4 linked regions of the Arabidopsis thaliana genome follow. The protein of the gene in region 4 interacts with the protein of the main gene of each other region in a pairwise test. Each region holds a gene or a part of one and is shown on either strand. Other genes may lie near its edges. The genes, in order: AT2G02060, NTT, AT5G08720 and RR16.

Region 1 (5,558 bases), about 16 Mb from region 4:
GACGGAGATGGAGACGGAGACGAAGAAGAATCGTTGACAGAGGGGAAAATGCGAGAGAGGGTGGAGGAAGAGTCAGAGACGATTCGGAGATAACCAGAAGTTCTGTAGAGGGAGAAGCAGAAGCAGATGAAGAAGAGCAAGAGAACGGCTCGGAGTACATTGCCGGAGCACGGTGGGATTACGACGGAAGTTACGGCGGCGGCGGCGGAGGAAGAATGATTCTCGTCGGAGTAAGAATCGTTGAGTATCGCCGTCTTGGAATTGGAGCCAAAACGGTTCGATAGATTCATCTTCGCCGACGTTGACGACGTTGGTCATCGTCTGGGCGGTTATAAGGTAGTTTCAAGTTTTTTGAATGTAAAACGCGGCGTTTAATGAGTTTACCCTCCAACGATGAAACGCAGCGTTTAATGGGTTTTATCTGCGAGATTATTTTTTCTACCGTAGGATTGCCGACCAAAATAACAATGAACATTCTAAACCGTAGGATCTTGATATAGAAACGCTGCGTTTAGGGGTTATCCTTCAAAGATCAAAACACTGCGTTTGGCTCTGTTTGTTAATTTTCCGTTCAAAGGCGATCAAAACGCTGCGTTGATAATTTATCTAAACTTCATTTTCTAGGTTTCTCTACTAACATTCAATATCCTAGTTTCAAAAACACATCCGAATAGTTTCTCTGAACCTAAATCTTGCATAACTTATTTAGCTACCGAGGAGAGAAATTGACAGATTAAGATCAATCTTTGAAGAACCAAAGCAATCTTTGGATACGAATGGTGCTGAACAAGTCGAGACTGCTGCTTCACTCGTTTCGCTCACCACCGATGATCCATTGCTTCTCCAATGATGATGATTTAACGACAGAGACAACGACAAATCTTCTTCTTCTTCTTCGTGTTCTTGTTCCCGCCACTCCTCTGTTCCCTAATGAACCAAAAGACAAAATTAGTTACCAAACCGGACTAAAACCGGTTAAATGCCATTTATATGAAACTAATTAGATTCAATGACAAGTAGTACTTAAACCGGACTCAATCCCTTTGGATTTGACCAGTCTCAATCAGACCGGTTAGAACTCATAACCGGACTTGATTTTGTTTTGCAACATTAAATTTCCAAACCGGTTGACAAAAGAGAAATTTATTTATACCTTGGGGAAATGATGTGACAAAAACGTCGTCGTATCGTTCATCTTCTTGATGTGAAGAAAGTCAGCATCATCATCATAACCACCAGACTCTGAAGTCTGCTGCTCTTTTGTTCTTCCTCCTCCTCCTCCTCTGCACCAAAGTAAAAGGACAATTCAAATACAGACAAACAAAAAAGCAAAACACTTTTTTTTTTTTTTTACTGAAATAAAATTAAAAAACTTTGTCAGAAAACAATTATAAATAAAAATAAATACCTAAATGAAGAATGTGAAGAAAGAGGAAAAGAGTGAAAACCCAAAAGACAATCATTCCTTGTGTGTAAAGACAAGTTGTCATGAAGATAATAATCTTCTTCACTGTCTTGTCTTCTTCTTATTGAAGATGATGAGCTTTCTTCTGTGTAAGAAACAATAAAAACTAGTTAATGAATATTCTCTTATTTTCTGTTCTATTACTCTTGAAAAATATATAAATGTATTTATGACATTTGTCTTATGAATCATGACACTAGACCAATAGTACATACTACAAACAGATACAGTAAAATAATTAAATTCCATCCATTATTATGTGTTTGATGTTAACAGTTCAAATTAAAATCAACGGTCCCATTCTTTTTCCAAATATCATCATTGATTCATTTCATAATTATAAGGAAAAAAATAATACCTGGTTTCTCCAAAGTGAGCTTTGAACCTCCTCTATACATCTGTTTATATATATGTTCAAAACAATCAAAACAAGGTGTTATGAATGAAATATGAATAAAGAAGAAAACAAAATTGATGTTTTTGGTAAAATTAATTACTATTTACCTGAAGGTGGCTTTTGACATGTGAAATGGTAAGTCCCTTCACATCCATCATCTTAAGAACAAGTTTTGGTGTTGCTCCTGTTTCATCAAACCCAACAAAATATCAAAAAGGTGACTATGATGATTCTTTATGAAAAAAAACAAAAACTCAAACTTTATGAATGAAACAAAACAACAAAAGCGTGAAGGTTTTGACTCGGTAACTTGACAAAGATGATTCATTACGATGATGAAGATAAACAACACAATAAGGAAACTTCAAACCTTTTTTTTAGCATAAAAATCCAAACTTTGAAGATAAGAATGAAACAAAGTAACAAAAGTGTGAAGATTTTATTCAAAAACTGATTTTTTACGATGATTGAGACAAAAGAATGAGAAAAGTCCAATTTTTCTAGTTATATCGTAACTTTAGGATGTTTGAAGCAAACAAACACACAAAAGTTTGGTTTTTTTCACAAAAGATTTGAAGAGAAAAAAAGTATAATAAACTTACGGTGTTGACCACCGAGAATCTCGACGGCGTGAACGAAACAACGGTGAAGATCCGGCGTCCATCTAAGCCGTGGAACTGGAGACCGTACGTAAGGTCTAACTCCGTGAAATTTATTGCCGTTAAAGCTTCCGTTACCATTTCTACCACTAGACTTACCCATATCGTTTCAAGAACCCTAAAAACCGACACAAAGATTCGATTTTTACTTAAACCCAAGAGAAAAAAAGGTTTGATATGTTTTGGTTCTGTGAAGAGGAGAGAAAGAGAAACGAGGAGAGGAGGATTTGAGAGGTGTGTGGGTTGGGATTAAAAGAGCAAGTTTTTGTTTTTGGCTTCTTTCTTAAAGATGACTGTCTCTTTTTCCATCTATTCTTTTTGTCTCTTTTTGGATTCATTCATACTTATTATTATCTCTCTATATATGTTTTGCAAAATTCCAAAAAATAATTATTAAAACTTGAGAAATGTTTCATTCATTTTTTTTGTTAAATATCAATTTGAGTTCTTACGAAAAAACTACATTAATTAAAAGAGAGTTATAATTTTGTTGTTTAAGAATTGTTCATGACATATACGTGAGGAATTTGAGGATACGTAAACTATCGTAAAGTCAAAATTTCATAATCTGATATGGTTTATGGTTGGGTCACTTATTTAGACGATTAAACTAGCAAATAAAAAGAATGATGTTATAAAATTGGTTTATTATACTAAACAGAGAGGTGACATGTGTTTTTTGACCTACAAGCTTGTAGTAATCATACGAAAATCCATTTGACTTTGGTTACAAAAGTAGTAATCATACGAAAATCCATTTGACTTTGGTTACATTAGTCTTGACTCGTGACCCCATTCATTATTATCTTAAATAATTTTTTTAAATAGTTTTCGAGAGAATCATTGCATATCAACGTACCAGAGAACTACACAAGGCTACATACATAACTTGCATGAAAAGAACATAGATTCGAGTATTACCCTTGCCCCGATCGATATATAACCAATTGAACATACATTTGTTAGCTTAGCTGGTCAAAAGAATATACTTGTCATAGAAAAACCAAATTTTGTAAGAACACATAATATTTACCTTATAGGGATTTGGGATTTACCCAAATGAAGAAGTTTCCTCCACAGTACCTCAAACTTTACTTTCTCACTTTTTTCACGATAGGTTTTAGACCAAAACGAATAAATTTAAATGAAAATAGCCCAACTGCTTAGCTTTGACCATATAGCATAATTATTATTCCTATTTTTGTTTTTTGTTTTGTTTTTTTAGGGTTTCGTGTTAAACTTTCTGATTTCAAATAAATCACACAATTTTACAATGGTCCTTCGTTATGTCTTTTGGACCACCGTTTTGACTTCATTCCCCTAATTCCTTTACATTTTCTCCCATTTCCCATTCATTTTCCTTCTTATTGTTTTCTTTTTCACTCCCATAATAAGTGATAATAAATCTTAGGATAATATTTATAACAAGAATTATTTATTTTCCCCATTTTTCTTTTTCTCATTGCTGATTTGGTGTACATGGAAGACGAACCAAAACCATCATGTCCCTATATGGTAGCCGACAATAATTACTGATTTCGCCAGTTTTTTCCAACCATGGATTCAATATTTTAATCAACGAATTGTGGACATAAATCACGTTATTTTATCAGCTATTCTACTATTAACTACTTATATTAACATCAAATACTGTTTTTAAATGATGTATGTATTTCTTGTAAGAAATTAAGTACTAGTATATAATTTTTATGTAGTATTAGAAAGTAATTGATTTGTACTACATACTTACTCGTGGTTTACGTGGTATCAGCCATAATAATAAAAAAATAAGAAAAAGCCGATTGAGTATTAATTAAGAGAACAAAATTTAATAATTTATAATTTAACAAAGTCGTCGTCTTTATTCCACACATAAATCAGACATTTCTATACCCAACGAAAAAAACAATCAAATAATAAAATCTACACACAAAGTGAGGTCATTGACCTTTAAAATGTAGCCTATTGTGCTTTGCATTTTCTTCTCATTTATGCACATTCTCTAAATTATTATAAAAACGTGGAATTCTCTGCATATATGCCAAAATTCGCTTTAACGATTTTAAAAATGGTTTAGTGTTTGATTAGACGGTAATTAAAATATAATATTCAGTCACCAGCTTGTCAAAGACACACGAGTTGCTTATATTACCTATATATTGACTAGAAGAATAATACAAAAAGCTACCTAGGTTATGATCATTGATCAAAATAATCAAGTAAACACATTCCAAAAGGTTTTATCAGTGAAACAATTTTACTATATTCACTAATAAAGCCTTTTATTATCCTACTGATGATCATTGATCGATAAACACAATTGCATGGATGGATAAAATGTCTAACCGAGAGTTCAAGTCTCAAAAATCAAAATGGTTAGTACTAATACATGTATGAGAGAAAGTGGAAGCAAATGAAAATAATACATTAAATGAGTCTGGCAGAGACAAATAGCTCCAAGAGAAATTGAATGAGTAATTGACTGTGGAGGTCCATGATTCATGGCTTTTACCACAATCAAAACATTCAATAATTCTCTTTGCTTGTTTTTTTATTAATATTATAAAACTTTGTACATACATGTAAGATAATGTAACCCAACTGGATTTTGGACTATAAAAAACATAACATTCTTTTTTGTGTGTGGAAAATTTGGATGTGCAAATCTCACCGAACCATTCGACGATTATCAATGTTAATTTATTATTCTATTGGGTCAATTTTCTCATCACCCATTGATTGAATTCAATCATAGCACATGCAAGAACAAGGCAAATTCTAAGATGGTTAAAGTAATATAAAAGGTGTAATCCATGAAACACCTAGAGAGAACAGAGAAGAATTAGCCTTTTCACACCTAAAATAACATTAAACAAAAGTGAAAGAGAGTTGTTTAAAAGTTTGATTTGGGAATGGTTGGGCCACCAAAAAAATTACACAACTAATATATAAATTACAAGACAGAGAATATAATATACAACAATGTACACATGGATAGATATAGACATTGCATGGTTATGTGAAAAGGTTTAGAGTA
Region 2 (5,384 bases), on a different chromosome or scaffold from region 4:
CTGTTGATTATGTATTAGATCAAGCAACATATACATAAACTAAAAAAAGAAAGAGAAACGGACGAGAGTAGCTTTTAAACTAATTGCTATGAATTGGTAGATATGACAATAACTAGCATCGGCATTTTGATTTGTTTTCTCACATTCGGATGAGTTCGTGAGAATCAAGAATTGTTCAGTTGAATGATATTTTTTGGTAAATTATGTACTAAAGATTTGAATTATTTTAATTTAATTTTACATGCGTTGATAAAATATAAACCAAAACACATCTATAATTATTTATGTATTGTTATATTCTCAAAACATATGGGATGCGTATCATCATCACATTATGTATAATTTGGTATTCGATCTTCCTAATAAAGTTCTGCACTTGAGTACGTAGCAATATTCTCTAGTGTCCATTCTCTCATTATTTTCCATGATGTCACTAGACAATTAAGTATCACAAGTATTCTTATAAAATAAAACCAACGATAACTCCACCAGAAAACAAATATCTGTTGGAATAAAAAAAAAACTAGAATCTATTATTACTCAAATTGAAATTTGGAAATATTCATTTTGATCTAGAATATGGTATATTAAGAGAAAATTCTTATGCATGAATGTATAGCATCTACTTTTCTTGTCTTTTAGTATCCTAACAAACATAATTTAAACATTTATAAGTTATGTCCTTCGAATTAACGAAAGGTGAAGCTAATGACAAAATAATATACAAATAGAAATAAACCGTTGGGAACCTCATTGGTTAGACTGCTACATTGTCTTGCAATAAATTTAACTAGGAAGCTAAAGATACAATTTAAAATTTTCCAAGTGCTCTTGATTCATTTTTTTCCTATGATCAATTAGATGATATAGCTTTTAGTTTGAAAAGCCCTACCTCCATCAAAACTTGGTCCATAGATTTAGGTTTCTTATAATTAATATATATACCGAATTACTTAGTACTTATAGTAATATATATAAGCTATTTAGACTGCATTGACTCATGATCATTGTCTAATTGTTCTACCTCAGAGGCAGGCTCATCTTCTTCATCAAACCCATCAATTCCGTAGGCTCCATGACCATTCCCAAAAGCCTTGATGTGATCTTTGAGAGATCTCTTGTGCTTGAAATCAGATCCACATATGCAATACCAAAGTTTGCCACAATTCTTCTCATGTGTTCTCCAGTCCCCTCGGACTGCGAAAGCCTTTCCACATTTCCTACACATGAAAGGTTTGATCCCATGTTTTCTCTTGTAATGTGTTTGAAGGGTTCTGAAGTCTTTGAGAGGCTTTGCCCTTGGATGGTCAATGTTGTTGCGACAGCCTGGGGCGCAGCAATAGCACGGAAGCCTTAGCATTCCTGTTGGTTGTGTTCCCCTTAGAGATTCAGGTCCTTTTCTGTATTGTGATCCATGTCCCCACATATGCATCTGTAAACAAAATCATGCATGTATATATGATCATCATGTAGGGTTTGGATAACTTATAGTATATGTTCGAAAAGTTCTAAAAGTGTGAGTCTTGAAACTTTAGCTTATGATATGTGCATTAGCAGTTTTAATAACATGTGTCTTCTATAAGATGTAATGATTACTCTAGCCAGCATACATAGATTATCAATGTTATGATGATTATTCTAACCAGCAGACGCAACTTAATTAGCAGATCAACCTTGAAGCATATGTAAAAAGACAATAAGATGTCAAACAAATGCTGAAATGTAATCAAAATTATAGAAACGAATTTCATAAAAAAAAAAAATATATATATATATATAATAATAATAATAATAATAATAATAAGATATGTCAATGCATGCTTAGGTTAACAAATTAACTAAGCAAAACTTAAAAAGAAAAAGATGCTTAGTTTATGTTCAGTACAAAATCTTATCAAGCTCATATATGTAGCAAACAAATGAAGCCTTATATGTATCTATGTATATTAATTGAAATATGGGTCTGTGAAATCGTATCAGTACTGTTATTTTACACGTTAGACATTTGAAGACTCTCATACAAAAAAAGGGTGACACACTTGCCAATATTGTAGTGAAAAGCAGCAAACCACAGAGACTCTGAAAGTACTAAAGACATAAAGAACATTTACTGTCTTGTTAAATCTCAGTCTCAGACTTCACAGTCTCAAGTCTCTCGGTTCTTTGTAATGCAATGATTTATTCATGCATCAGTGAGCAAAGACACGTCCTCTGATTGATTTGAAAACAGTATGTATTTATATATATTTATTTACCGATTTAAGGTGAAAACGTTTTTGTTTTTTTTCGAGGAAATTTAGTGAGCAAACCTATTTTCTTTGGTTTTTACCTTTTGGGTTTACTCGGAATAATGAAGGGAAAAAAGAAGTCGATTTACATGGAAAAGAAAACGAAATTCTTCAAAAAGTAATGCGTATTGAGATATGTTAAAGATTTAGATTAATGAGAGTGTGATTAATTAAGAACCTGCATGTTATTGTATCTGTTGAAGGTTTTGAAGCAAACAGGACATGAGAACTGAGTAGGGCCAATGAGAATCTGAGAAGGTGTAGGGATCCAATATTGACCCTTGTTGAGTCTGCTGATTCTACAGCCGCCGTCTCCGCCGACTGAATCTTCATCGTCATCTTCTCCTCCTCCGACAGCTCCGTGGCTGTACTCATGGTCGAGGTCTTTCTTGTGATTCATGTCCTCGTGATGATGAGTGGTCCTCGAGGAAGAGGAAGAAGAAGACATCATGAGCAAAGAGGCCATCTCTTGAGCACTAGGGCTTGGAAGGCCTATGTGAAGAGCAACGGTGACGTCATGGTCATCGTCATCGAGGTTATGATGATCATCTTGATGGTGATGATCGTAGTCGACATCCATGGAGGTTGAAGGTGGTTCTTGAATAAGGTGGTCATGGTTGTGATGGTGGTCTTGTTGTTTGTTGGCGGGGCTGAGGCTGAGGAGAGGGAGGGCTTCTCGGAGAGGAGGAGAAGGAGGAGGAGTTGGTGGCGGCGGTGGACGGCGGAGGTCTCCGGATTGAGGGAAGAAGAAGAAGGAAGAGGGAGGAGTAACAGGAGGAAGAGGATGAGGAGAGGGGTTAGTGGAGGAATTAGGGTAATGGTGAAAAGGATTAGACTTGAACCAGTCTGTGAAGAAATTGGAATAAGGATCAGTCATGGTGAAGAGAGAGAGAGAGGAAGAGAAAGGAATAGTTTTAAGACTTGTGGGATTATCTTTATACAAGAGACATAGATGGGAGATGAAGATGGAGATGGAGAGATTGTGATGGGATGGGAGAGAGAGAGAGCTTTTTTTTTGGGTTGCAAAGAGAGATTTTCTTTGGGTGCAAGAGAAAAAGAGAGAGAAAGATTATTAATTATGGACTGAAAACTAAAAACTGACTTTAACGAAAAAAAAAAAAAAAAGGAACTAAAGAAGCAGGTCAAATACGAATGTGTATTAGTCTACGCAAAGTAATTATTTCATTCAGATATGTAGGTCCTTATTCTTTATAAAAAAAATAAAACGATGGTTAAGAAATAACCAGTGCGGTTAAGACTGTTTACGATGTTTTGAAGATAACATTTATAGATTAGGCAGTAAGCATTAGAAATTCAGATAGTAGATTTTTTTTTTTTATTGGTGATTTGTTTTTGTTAAGAATATAGAATTAAAATAATTTTTTAATCAATTTAAAAGGTTTTCAAAATCTTATAAGTTGTTATAATTATAAACTACAAATCACGTTCTTTAATTTTCTTACTATTATAAGATGTCTTAATTTTCGGACGACATCATAGTCTCATAATTCGTGTGACTGAGAGTTTCTACGTATGATCATGGTAAGTAAACACAGCGTCTGAACCTGCACATCAGAACTATATAACATATTACTTCATTGTATTTTTAAAAACCGTACAAAGATCTAACTTTGGATCCTTATTCAATTTGTGTATCTCTTATACCTGGATCTTATAAGGAAAAAGAATGCAAAACCATTGAATGATGTGAATAATTGTTGTTCGTATGTTCAAGTCTGAATTCACTTAGTTTATTGTCAGACTATGGTCGTTGAAAAAGAGAGAGTAAAACTATGCTTGAATATGACGATTTTTTCATGGTGATTGTTTTACTAATTAAACGAATTAAAGTAAATCTACAAAAGGGGCTCTAATTATATGTATTATCTAATTTGATTAACATTATCAGATTACGTAAGGCTTAATAGCACAGGAACTTGTATTAACATATTTAAATCATAAAAGTCCTTAAATATTCCACATCTGTGGATTATGTACTTAATTAAAAGCATTAGTGGATGCCATTTCATACAAGTAGGTCAAAATGTAATAAAGATGATAATAATAGACATTGAGGATTAGGGCTCGCTTGAAGAGTATACATACATACGCTAAAATACCAAAGACAATAATCTTATAGCCAATATGACAAAACAAAAAGCTATTCGAGTTCGACCTATATTGGCTCCACGGAAAAATTGGAATTTATTTATTTATATTCACTATGAGTGAAACAGGATTAATATATAAAAAGGAACATATTTGACAAAAAAATAAAATAAAAAAATACATAAAGCATATGAGGTTCAGATACATCATACAAAGATAATGTCACTGCTTTTTGGAGATGGCTCTCATCCCAATTCCCAAACAAATTTTCTTATCTTAAAAGCCTTTCCTCAAAAAAAGAAAAAAAGAAGCCATATCTTATCAGTTTGAGACTTAAAAATAGTTTTGAAACAGGGTAAATTTGAAAAATAATGTAACTGTCTAAATACCGATGGACAAATTAATTAAATAAAATTGTGGCGTCATTCCCGACTCATGAGCTAATTAAAAAAAAATAGCATAAATTAGGACACAATTCTGATTTTACAATTTTTGTGTTTGTAGTTTAGAAAAGAAATAAATATCAGTAAAATCTACTCCTATGACCTAGTTTCAAAAATATATAGACAAGAAGAAGGTTAGATAAATAATATCTTTCTAGGTTTAGAAGGACAATATTTCAAAGTTTGTGAGTAGTTTTGAAGTATTATCCCATATTTATGCTAGGTTAGATTCATTTTAGGATATAGATTCACATATAATGGATTTCTTCCTCATAAAATTTTAACTATAAAATAAACAAAAATAAATAAATTGAAAACACACATATGGGAATTCAATAATTAATAAATTTGGTAATCAAGTACGAGGACCCGAGAGAAAACTGGAATGTATGTATTCGTAAAAGTTTTGGGGGGTTTTGATTTTCTATTATTGACATGAATTATTAATTCGATGAACCAAATTATGTAGTTTTGCTTATGTTAATTGTTTATTTATTTTATGAGTTTTAATATTTATATGAGAAAAAAGGGAAGCAATTGCATT
Region 3 (6,418 bases), on a different chromosome or scaffold from region 4:
AACTCGTTTAAGGCTTCAGATCTTCTTGGTGACAACAAGGAGAAGTTTCTGGCGAAGTTAGGGTTGGCTCGAGTTCTCAATTCCAACTCTTCTTCAGCTGATCGTGAGACGGGTGATGGAGATTACTTAGTCTCCACGCCCTTTTGCTCACACAAGTTTTCAACAACTTGCTGGAGTGAATATCTCAGCGATGCTCTGAAGAAGAACAAGGAGCAGAGAGGACTCATCTCTTGCCTTAGCCAAGACTGTGTCGCCTCTGTTGGACCCGATACGATCGAGCAACTCACAGAGCCAGTGAAGGAGATGTACGAGAATTATATTCTCGAATCCTTCATGGAGTGCCACAAGGCAACGATCAAATGGTGTCCTGCTTCGGGTTGTGAATACGCCGTCGAGCTTCAGGAGGATGGTAATGAAGATAATGTCATCAGTGTGGTCTGTTTGTGCGGCCATACCTTCTGTTGGACATGCGGGCTCGAGTCACACCGTCCGGTGTCTTGCAAAAAGGCATCAATTTGGTGGACGTACCTGTTGGATCAGTCAAGAAGCATTTCTTGGATCCATACAAACACCAAAAGTTGTCCCAAGTGCAAGATTCCTGTGCAGCAGAATGGTGATCCTAATTACAGACTCATTAATTGTATCTGCAGGTTTGTTTCTTTCTGAGCTTTAAAACATGTGCAAAATATTATATCTTTAAACTCATTACTATGTTTTCTTGACTGTTATGCATCATCAGTAATAACTTCTGTTGGATCTGCTTGCGCACGGAGGAACAGCATCAGGGGAACTGGAATTGTTCTCCAGTCGCTGTTCCAGCTGCGGGTCCTTCTACCGTTGAATTCTCACAGATTCTCCACCTGAATCTGTGGGAGGCAGGTCATGAAGCATTGAAGAAGGCTAAGTCCAAGCTGAGAGCCTTAGAGGAAAAAATCATTCCGAAACTGATCGAGAACTGCGGAGCGACCGAGCTGGACATTAGGACAGTAAGAGAAGCAGGGATGCTTAGTGTTCAGTGCAGGCAGGTACTGAAATGGAGTTGCGTATTTGATTACTCTATAATCGAGTACGAAAGCACGAAGAAGCAGTACCTGAAACACCTCCGAGCTCTGGCGAGCACAATGCTTTGTATGCACGAAGGGAAGCTTGATGAGTTGATACATCTAGCCCTCTCACCTGAAGATTTCACTAACTATAAGCACAAGTTGGAAATCAGTACAACATGCACTGGTAACCACTTCGATGGATTCATCAAGGAACTGGAAGATGGTAAGCCTGAAGTGAAGGCTGATGGTTACGAGAATGAACCAGGCAGTCGCTGGTTCTGTGATAGGTGCACGTTTGAGAACAGCTGGGTTGATAAACAGTGCAAGATGTGCTTTTTCCCCCTGGACTATCATCCTTCTCCTCAAGTGGCAGCAGCTCCTGAAGACCTTGGAAAATCGGAGTGAGAGTGAGTGATGAGTAAAGGATAAGTCTCATCAGTGATTGATGCTGGTTTCGTTTGGTGTTTTAGCTTCTCTTGTGTTGTTTTGTGTTTAAGAGTCTCCTTTGTTTCTCTTTCTCCTCTCTGTGTTGGATCATCATCCATCATATTGGTTTAAGAGTCTTGTTGCATTTGTCTTCTAAGTCTTTGTTGTTGTTGTTGTTGTTGTTGTTGTTGTTGTTGTTGTTTGTTGGTGTTTATGTTTGTGTTTCCTTGTTATAATATTTTTTGTAACATGAAAATGCAAATACAAAACTTCAGAGGAACAATAAAGTTTAAATCATGGTTTCGAATATAATGTCTATTGAAGAACAAAAGGTGAATTTCAACCATACATCAAATATATAAAATAAGAAAAAATCCGGTGGCTGAGAATATTTAACGGTAATGTAACACTCTGCAACAGTATCTTCTTCCTCTACACTGACACATTTCGTCGAACACCTTTCGCTAATGTCAGTGAGCAAGTTTCCACATCTCTCTCATGGCGTTCACACTATCAATTTCCTCAATGAACCAGTGTTTTTAAGTGTGTTGCTCCCATCTCCCTCTCGGATTCGAGTATTCTCGTCCATTTCCACCTCCGGGATCGGCGGCGGGGTCGCCAAGTGCCATGGAACGAGACATAGCGGCGCCGGTGGTAGAGGTGATAACGGGTTGAGGAGAGATAGTGGATTAGGTTTCGACGAGAGAGGAGAGAGAAAAGTGCGTTGTGAGGTTGATGTGATCTCGTGGAGAGAACGGAGGATAAGAGGCGAAATCTGGGTCGATTCTGATTCTCAATCTGTTTGGAATGTTCTTACTGATTATGAACGACTTGCTGATTTCATACCCAATCTCGTTTGGAGGTACTTCCCTCAGTAATACCCACTTTTTTCTTTCAGATTCTTATCATTTTGTTTGTGTTTATCTACAGAATTCTTCTGAATAATCTCTAAAGATTCAATTTTTATGTTATCTGGTTCATGCCATTGAAATTGTTTATACTGAATACAATGACTATACGTCTCCAAGAGAATGCTGAATCTCCATGCTTAGTTACCTCTCTTTGTTGATGGTATATTGTTTCAACTTGTAGTGGAAGAATTCCTTGTCCACATCCAGGACGTATATGGCTGGAGCAACGAGGCCTTCAAAGAGCCTTGTATTGGCATATTGAGGCTCGTGTTGTCCTTGATCTCCATGAGTGTCTAGATTCTGTGAGCACTCTTAAGCCTTTACTTTTCTCTTGCTGAATGATTGGGATTGAGTCTAAAACCTGCAAACTCTTCCGGATTCTGTGGTCTCTTTTTTTATGCATATCTTAGCTTTTGTTAAGAATCAAGAGGTTTCCTTTACACTGGATGATCTGTAATCATGGTTGATAAGGAGTTGCCTGCTTCCCACTTTCTCTAGATCCTTATTCCTAACCTCTTATTAGTTCTAGAAAAAACAATCATAGTGAGGTTTACTCTTGAAAATATCCATGGTTCTAATGAGTTCTCTTTCAGCCTGCTTTGCACTCATTGCATTGGTTACTTAGGGTACAACAAGATGTTATTTGTAACAAGTAGTTTTGTTGTTTGGTTAATTAGTTAATCTTTACTCTTGAGTTCTTATATTACATTTGTTTCTCAATCCATACATCTCTATTAATGTAGTTTTTCCTATTATCTTATTAGCCAAATGGTCGTGAGCTTCACTTCTCTATGGTAGATGGTGATTTCAAAAAGTTTGAGGGAAAGTGGTCTGTGAAATCTGGTATCAGGTACACTCATTAATCCCCGTAAGAAGTTTGTGTGCTCATCCTATCATCATTTAAATTAAATCCTCTATAAATGTGTATCAGAGAAATTCTTTCTGTAAACAGTCTGTTATGCATTTCTAACCACGGATCATTTTGGAACCATCTATGTTCCAAACATTTGTTTTTCTCTTTCTCCAGGTCCGTAGGAACTGTCTTGTCATACGAAGTAAACGTAATCCCAAGATTTAACTTCCCTGCCATTTTCTTAGAGAGGATAATCAGATCAGATCTTCCTGTAAATCTCCGGGCCGTAGCTCGCCAAGCTGAGAAAATTTATAAAGATTGCGGAAAGCCGTCAATAATAGAAGATTTGTTGGGTATAATATCTTCACAGCCAGCCCCTTCTAATGGTATTGAGTTCGATAGTCTTGCTACGGAGAGATCTGTTGCCTCCAGTGTTGGATCATTAGCTCATTCAAATGAATTGAACAACAATTGGGGAGTGTATGGAAAAGCCTGCAAGCTTGATAAACCTTGCACCGTGGATGAAGTTCATCTTCGTAGATTTGATGGTCTATTGGTAAGTAGTTTGGCTCAAAACTTACTCTATATACTATGAAAAAAAAAAGTTTTCCCATCTTTTGTGTTTATGAGTCAGTGGTTTTTTTCTTGGATGAAGGAAAATGGAGGTGTTCACCGATGCGCCGTTGCTAGTATAACAGTTAAAGCTCCTGTTTGTGAAGTTTGGAAAGTTCTAACGTCTTATGAGAGTCTTCCAGAGTAAGTACCGAACACATATATTTATCATATCCGGGCTTCACTGTTCTGACCTTAAGGAGGATTTTCTTGTCAATCTTCTTCAAATATTTGTTGTGTTGGCTTATATATATCTCTTGTTCTTCTGCGTTTATTGTTCATGAACCTATCAGGATAGTTCCAAATTTGGCAATCAGCAAGATTTTGTCACGCGATAACAATAAAGTCCGAATACTTCAGGTATGAGCATTCTCATCCACGGTTACCTTGTAATCAAATTTGGCAAGGACTAGAAGGAATCATTCTACAAGTACTTGTATTGGGTACTAACACTGGAAAAATCTGAAGAGAGAATTTGGTTGCCAAAATATGACTCATAATTTGCTCTTTCATGATTCAGAAAGGCTCTGTATTTAGTCTGGTCTTGAAGATCAAAATTCTGATACTGGCCAAAGCCAATGTTTCTTTTCTTGATTTCAAGAAATTATATAACTAAAACTGAATTCTGTTTTCAGGAAGGATGCAAAGGCCTGCTTTACATGGTGCTTCATGCAAGAGCTGTTCTCGATTTGCATGAGATTCGTGAGCAGGAAATCAGATTTGAACAGGTTGAAGGAGACTTTGACTCGCTAGAGGGGAAATGGATTTTTGAACAACTAGGAAGTCACCACACACTTCTCAAGTATACCGTGGAGTCCAAAATGAGAAAAGATTCATTTCTTTCTGAAGCAATCATGGAAGAGGTTTGGCTTACAATTGACTGAGTTCAGTGCAATCTTTTTTTTTTCTTATTGGAACCACAATGTTTTCTCTGAATCTTTTCAGGTTATATATGAAGATCTTCCGTCAAATTTATGCGCTATCCGGGATTACATTGAGAAAAGAGGAGAGAAATCTTCAGAGTCATGTAAACTGGAGACATGTCAAGTTTCAGAGGAAACATGTTCTTCATCTCGTGCCAAATCAGTTGAGACAGTTTACAATAATGATGATGGTTCAGACCAAACTAAGCAGAGACGGAGGATTCCTGGTCTACAAAGAGACATTGAAGTCTTGAAATCAGAAATTCTCAAGTTCATATCAGAACATGGACAAGAAGGATTCATGCCCATGAGGAAGCAGCTTCGGTTACATGGAAGAGTTGACATTGAAAAAGCCATTACAAGAATGGGTGGATTTAGGAGAATAGCTTTGATGATGAATCTTTCACTTGCTTATAAACACCGAAAACCGAAAGGATATTGGGACAATCTCGAAAACTTGCAAGAGGAGGTAAAGTTTCTAGACATGTTCAAAAATTAAAACCACTGTTGCCATGGTGTTTACAAGAGCTTCTCCCTCTGCATGTGGTTGCAGATAGGAAGATTTCAACAGAGTTGGGGAATGGATCCATCATTTATGCCGAGCAGAAAATCTTTCGAACGAGCAGGTACAAACAGTAAACTCAATTTAAGCTCTGTGTGTTCTTCTCAATCGGATTGGTCTGAGAAACATTTGGTCTGTTGTTTCAGGTCGTTATGACATTGCTCGGGCGCTCGAGAAATGGGGAGGATTACACGAAGTATCTCGTCTTTTAGCATTGAACGTGAGACATCCAAACAGGCAGCTAAATTCTCGTAAAGACAACGGTAACACGATACTGAGAACTGAATCTACTGAGGCCGATTTAAATTCAACGGTTAATAAGAATAATAAACCTTACGTCTCTCAAGATACCGAGAAATGGTTGTACAATCTTAAAGATCTTGATATCAATTGGGTTCAATATTGAAGCATTAATTATGTACATTTCACTATTTGTGTAGTCTTGTAACTCGCAAAGATAAACATGTATTTATGTAAATTGTAACATTGGATTGAAATTATCTGATCTCTTTTTAATGTTTCATCTGTTTTTAGTGTTTATATTTCACTTTGATAAAATAGAGTGAGAGAGCACCGAACAATAAGGAGGATAATAGCAAGGAACAAAGAAGTAAAGGTAAGTCAATGAAATTTGATAGTGATGGTTTTAAGAAAAAACGAAAGTCCCATCATTGTCTTCCTTCAATGTGAAATGAAGTTACACGTAATTAGAAACAAACTTCTTTCTAGGTTTTAGATTATTACAGAACCAAGTCTCAGAGGTCTTGACTCGTGACTGAAGAGAAAGGGTCAAGATATTTGGATGTGAATTGTGATGTGAAAAAGGAAAAAAAATCGAGATTTTAAAAGGGAAAATCAATAGAAAATATAAAATGCATGCATAAATCTAGAAATGATAGGTGTTTAACATTGAAGGCAAACTATGAGACAATCTTGAATCTTACTACTTTATACAATAGCTCTATATGTTATGACTTATAATAATTGGGACCTTCCTCGAGATTTAGACAGACCCTCTAACAGCTGAGAAACATGCATGTAAACAACATTTTTCTTTTTGATATAGATTAATCAGGAGAAATGAT
Region 4 (3,501 bases):
TGCTCATTTTCTGTGTTTTTGATTTCTTTGCTGCAGGTTCTTTGTGCTTCAAGTGAAGATCACTCGGTGGTAGAGCCGTTGCTACCACCTGCTGGTGCTAAACCAGGAGAGCGTGTTTCATTTTCAGGGTACATAGTTTTAACAATATAACATCGAACCTCTTTGATTGCTTTATTTACATGTTTCCCCTCCAGCCATTAAACTCATATATGCTCTTTTCTTTTTATTTTATTGTTGTTCTTGTTTATCTCAAACTCAAGAACCCTTTATCGAAATGTTTATATAGGATTGAAGGAAAGCCAGAAGATGTACTGAACCCAAAAAAGAAGCAACTAGAGAAGATAACACCGGTATGTGTTTTTTGCCCTTTATTAGGTTCCAGACTTAAACAAACCGAAGATGCGAGTACTGTGTTTGCATTATTATACGTAAACATTCAATCTCACGAGGACTTCGGTTAATCACATGCATTTGCAGGGTCTCTACACTGATGAAAATGGCGTAGCCACATACAAAGGCATACAATTCATGACCTCGGCTGGACCTTGCACTTCCAGCATCCCCAAGGCGACCATCAAGTAGTAAACTCAGTTGATACTTCTCTCCTCTACTCTAGCGTTTTTCTTTGATATTCGCAAACTCAGTTGGAAAAAGAAAAGATGTTCTTTTTGTCACAATTCGAATTAATCTAAAAACTTTCTTCTTATTAGCTTTTTGACAAACATCATTGTTTCAATTTCCCTTTTGAGAACTCTCTGCTACTAGATACTTAGTTCCATTTTCTTTGTTCACTCCTTTCGTTCAAGCTGTGCAAGTCCACCATTGGATTGCAACGTATTACCTACAAATATCCACTTAGCTACTTATGGGGTTTTTTCAATCAGATAAACCAAGCCATTCACTCTGGATTGAACTATCAAACCAATTGTGTTCAAATAAACTTGCAAATTACTTCAATTAGAAGAAACAACCTCCTTTTGTTTTGATTCGACGTAGATGATCTTACAAGGAAGGATGATAAAGAATCTTAGACCTGGCCCATGGGGATCTCTAAAAGAGATTGGTGGTCCATTTGTGACAAAAAGTCATTACCTGTTTCCATTTATTCCAAGGATTTGAACCCGAAAAATAATAATGAAAAAGTTGATATCTAAAGAATTATCTTATCAGCTTACAAGATCCTGAAACAGATCCGTACGACTGTCACCGGACACATATGTTTCTTTATTTAGTTTCACAAAGAATCAGTCCTCCAAAACACACAACTTCTTTCTTATATTAAACACACACAAAATCTTTATTCTTGTCCCAAAAAACAATTATGATCTTTTTTGAGGTTCTTTGGCTTTTATTATACGATTTTTCTTCAAATCATATCAGATTGTTACCGAATAAATCTTTTTCATATCATATTTTCAGTTCTATGAATCTACTACAATTTTTTAATTTTAAAGTGGTCCAAAAGAAAAGAAAAAAAGAAACCCCACACGATTCGAAGAACATGTCCTAACAAGTAACACAATACAAAAAGACAAGTATATGCAACTTTAAATCTATAACGACTGGTACTGAAACTAAAACCCCTAAAAATAAGAGATCACGAAATATCCGTGATATTCTTTGATGCAATCTCTTCCCCATTGCTCTCTGTTTTTATTTACTTTTAAAAATTATTCTGCAGAATTATATATAGTTGGGAAATCATAATGGAAAATTCTTCACCCACCTAAAAAATCAAAGAAACCATCATAAATACCATCACCAGAGATTCACATGATTCATGCATACACACTTCTGAGTCTGTCACTTTCTTCTTCATTGTTTGTGTTTTGTCTTTTTGATTTATTTTTGTTGAAGATGGAGAACTAAAAGCAATGTCTGCAAGGTCTTTATATTAATGCTAGAGTCAGTCTCGCTTATTATCAAGTTGTTTTCTTTATCAGTTACTTGACATTTAAGGAACAAAGGAGATCATGAACAGTTCAGGAGGTTCTTGTTCGTCTTTAATGGATGTGGTGGCTTATGATCATCATCTTCATCATGGTCATGATGAAGAGCTTCATGTTTTAGCTGTAGATGATAATCTTATTGACCGTAAACTCGTTGAGAGGTTGCTCAAGATCTCTTGTTGCAAAGGTTCAATCATTTTACCTTTCATGTTTTATAATCAATCATTACTTTATGCAATCTTTGTCTCTAAAATGTGAATTTTTGCAGTGACAACAGCAGAGAATGCGCTTAGAGCATTGGAGTATTTGGGTTTGGGAGATCAAAATCAGCATATTGATGCATTGACCTGTAACGTAAGCAAAAAAAAAACATATAAAATCTTCAAGATCTATGGATTTTTTTCCTTAGGACATATTTGATATTAGGTTTATATATGTGTGGATTTTCTAGGTTATGAAGGTGAGTCTAATCATCACCGATTACTGTATGCCTGGAATGACAGGTTTTGAGCTACTCAAGAAAGTGAAGGTAATTATATAACAGCTTCTTGGAACCAATATCCAGAGATTTATATTAACCTAAAAATCTTCTGTGTGTTTCTTTAGCAGGAGTCATCAAATCTGAGAGAGGTTCCTGTTGTGATAATGTCTTCAGAGAATATTCCTACTCGCATAAACAAGTAAGAACAAATTGAGATCAGATTAAGAACTTGTTTCTGTGTTTCTTATAGTGTAAGTAATTAGTAAAGATCATCAATCTTAATGTTCTGTTTTGGTCTTTTGAAAGCAGATGTTTAGCGAGTGGAGCTCAAATGTTTATGCAGAAGCCTTTGAAGCTTGCTGATGTTGAGAAGCTTAAATGTCATCTCATGAACTGCAGAAGCTAACCATGAGAGATTTATAATGTTAGCCCTAACCATGAAACGTTTTCATTGTGTCTTGATTCCTTATTTGATTATTTTACATGTTTTTCTTGAAATCAAGAAATGTTTTCACATGCCCTATAGTAATCTTTATACACAAAAGGAATCATAAAAAGTGGTTGTGGTGATGAAGATGATGACGATGTCTTCTCTCTTCCAATCCTAAACATCGAATAAATGGATAACATGAGAGGAAGAAACATCTCTTTATTCCTCTAACCATTGAAAATGGAGGCCACACGCAACAACAACAACATTGATGAGTCTCTTCTATCGTTGTTTCTTTCTCTTTTCTTCTTCCTCTTCTCTTATCTCTTTTGCGGCCATTGTTGCACAATATTGACATCGTTTCTGCGTGAAAAGAAGAGTAAGAATCTTGTGCAGCAAGAAAGGTCTAGAATTTCAATTTAGAACAGAAAAAATTAATACGAGAGAAAAAAAAGAGCAAAGGATCTTAACTGAATCACGATGAGATTCATATAAGAGTACAATCCTGTTTTTCTTCTCTTACCTCGGAAAATTCACCGGAATCTTATGAATGGGCTCGAAAATCTTTGGCAAGGAAGATTAATGGTGAGAGAAGATGATGAATCTCTTTCTTCTCCGAGAGACAGAGAGAGAGAGTCGAA

Evidence for each region.
Region 1: the proteins of RR16 (region 4) and AT2G02060 interact in a two-hybrid assay, tested with the Arabidopsis thaliana proteins (one large-scale study listed by BioGRID).
Region 2: the proteins of RR16 (region 4) and NTT interact in a two-hybrid assay, tested with the Arabidopsis thaliana proteins (one large-scale study listed by BioGRID).
Region 3: the proteins of RR16 (region 4) and AT5G08720 interact in a two-hybrid assay, tested with the Arabidopsis thaliana proteins (one large-scale study listed by BioGRID).

Annotation. Positions count from the first base shown.
Region 1 is NC_003071.7:492,757-498,314, reverse strand, and holds AT2G02060 (Homeodomain-like superfamily protein), read right to left. Parts: upstream 3,571-5,558; 5' UTR 3,555-3,570; intron 2,935-3,554; exon of another isoform or gene 2,640-2,934; 5' UTR 2,625-2,639; coding exon 2,465-2,624; intron 2,271-2,464; exon of another isoform or gene 2,233-2,270; intron 2,047-2,232; coding exon 1,970-2,046; intron 1,864-1,969; coding exon 1,824-1,863; intron 1,551-1,823; coding exon 1,409-1,550; intron 1,284-1,408; coding exon 1,154-1,283; intron 928-1,153; coding exon 706-927; 3' UTR 537-705; downstream 1-536. Other genes in the region: AT2G02061 (Nucleotide-diphospho-sugar transferase family protein), read right to left, coding at 1-290.
Region 2 is NC_003074.8:21,368,717-21,374,100, reverse strand, and holds NTT (C2H2-type zinc finger family protein), read right to left. Parts: upstream 3,345-5,384; 5' UTR 3,166-3,344; coding exon 2,467-3,165; intron 1,433-2,466; coding exon 980-1,432; 3' UTR 510-979; downstream 1-509. UniProt on the Arabidopsis thaliana protein: Transcriptional regulator required for normal differentiation of the ovary transmitting tract cells and pollen tube growth. In Arabidopsis, the transmitting tract facilitates the transport of pollen tubes to the ovules for fertilization.
Region 3 is NC_003076.8:2,840,857-2,847,274, reverse strand, and holds AT5G08720 (polyketide cyclase/dehydrase/lipid transporter), read left to right. Parts: upstream 1-1,744; 5' UTR 1,745-1,939; coding exon 1,940-2,334; intron 2,335-2,564; coding exon 2,565-2,685; intron 2,686-3,147; coding exon 3,148-3,233; intron 3,234-3,410; coding exon 3,411-3,792; intron 3,793-3,891; coding exon 3,892-3,992; intron 3,993-4,141; coding exon 4,142-4,208; intron 4,209-4,483; coding exon 4,484-4,711; intron 4,712-4,793; coding exon 4,794-5,240; intron 5,241-5,324; coding exon 5,325-5,397; intron 5,398-5,479; coding exon 5,480-5,739; 3' UTR 5,740-5,867; downstream 5,868-6,418. Other genes in the region: ARI16 (IBR domain-containing protein), read left to right, coding at 1-650, 740-1,451.
Region 4 is NC_003071.7:16,968,285-16,971,785, forward strand, and holds RR16 (response regulator 16), read left to right. Parts: upstream 1-1,569; 5' UTR 1,570-1,973; coding exon 1,974-2,136; intron 2,137-2,217; coding exon 2,218-2,303; intron 2,304-2,400; coding exon 2,401-2,478; intron 2,479-2,555; coding exon 2,556-2,629; intron 2,630-2,739; coding exon 2,740-2,836; 3' UTR 2,837-2,950; downstream 2,951-3,501. Other genes in the region: AT2G40660 (Nucleic acid-binding, OB-fold-like protein), read left to right, coding at 37-128, 287-350, 478-582. UniProt on the Arabidopsis thaliana protein: Functions as a response regulator involved in His-to-Asp phosphorelay signal transduction system. Phosphorylation of the Asp residue in the receiver domain activates the ability of the protein to promote the transcription of target genes.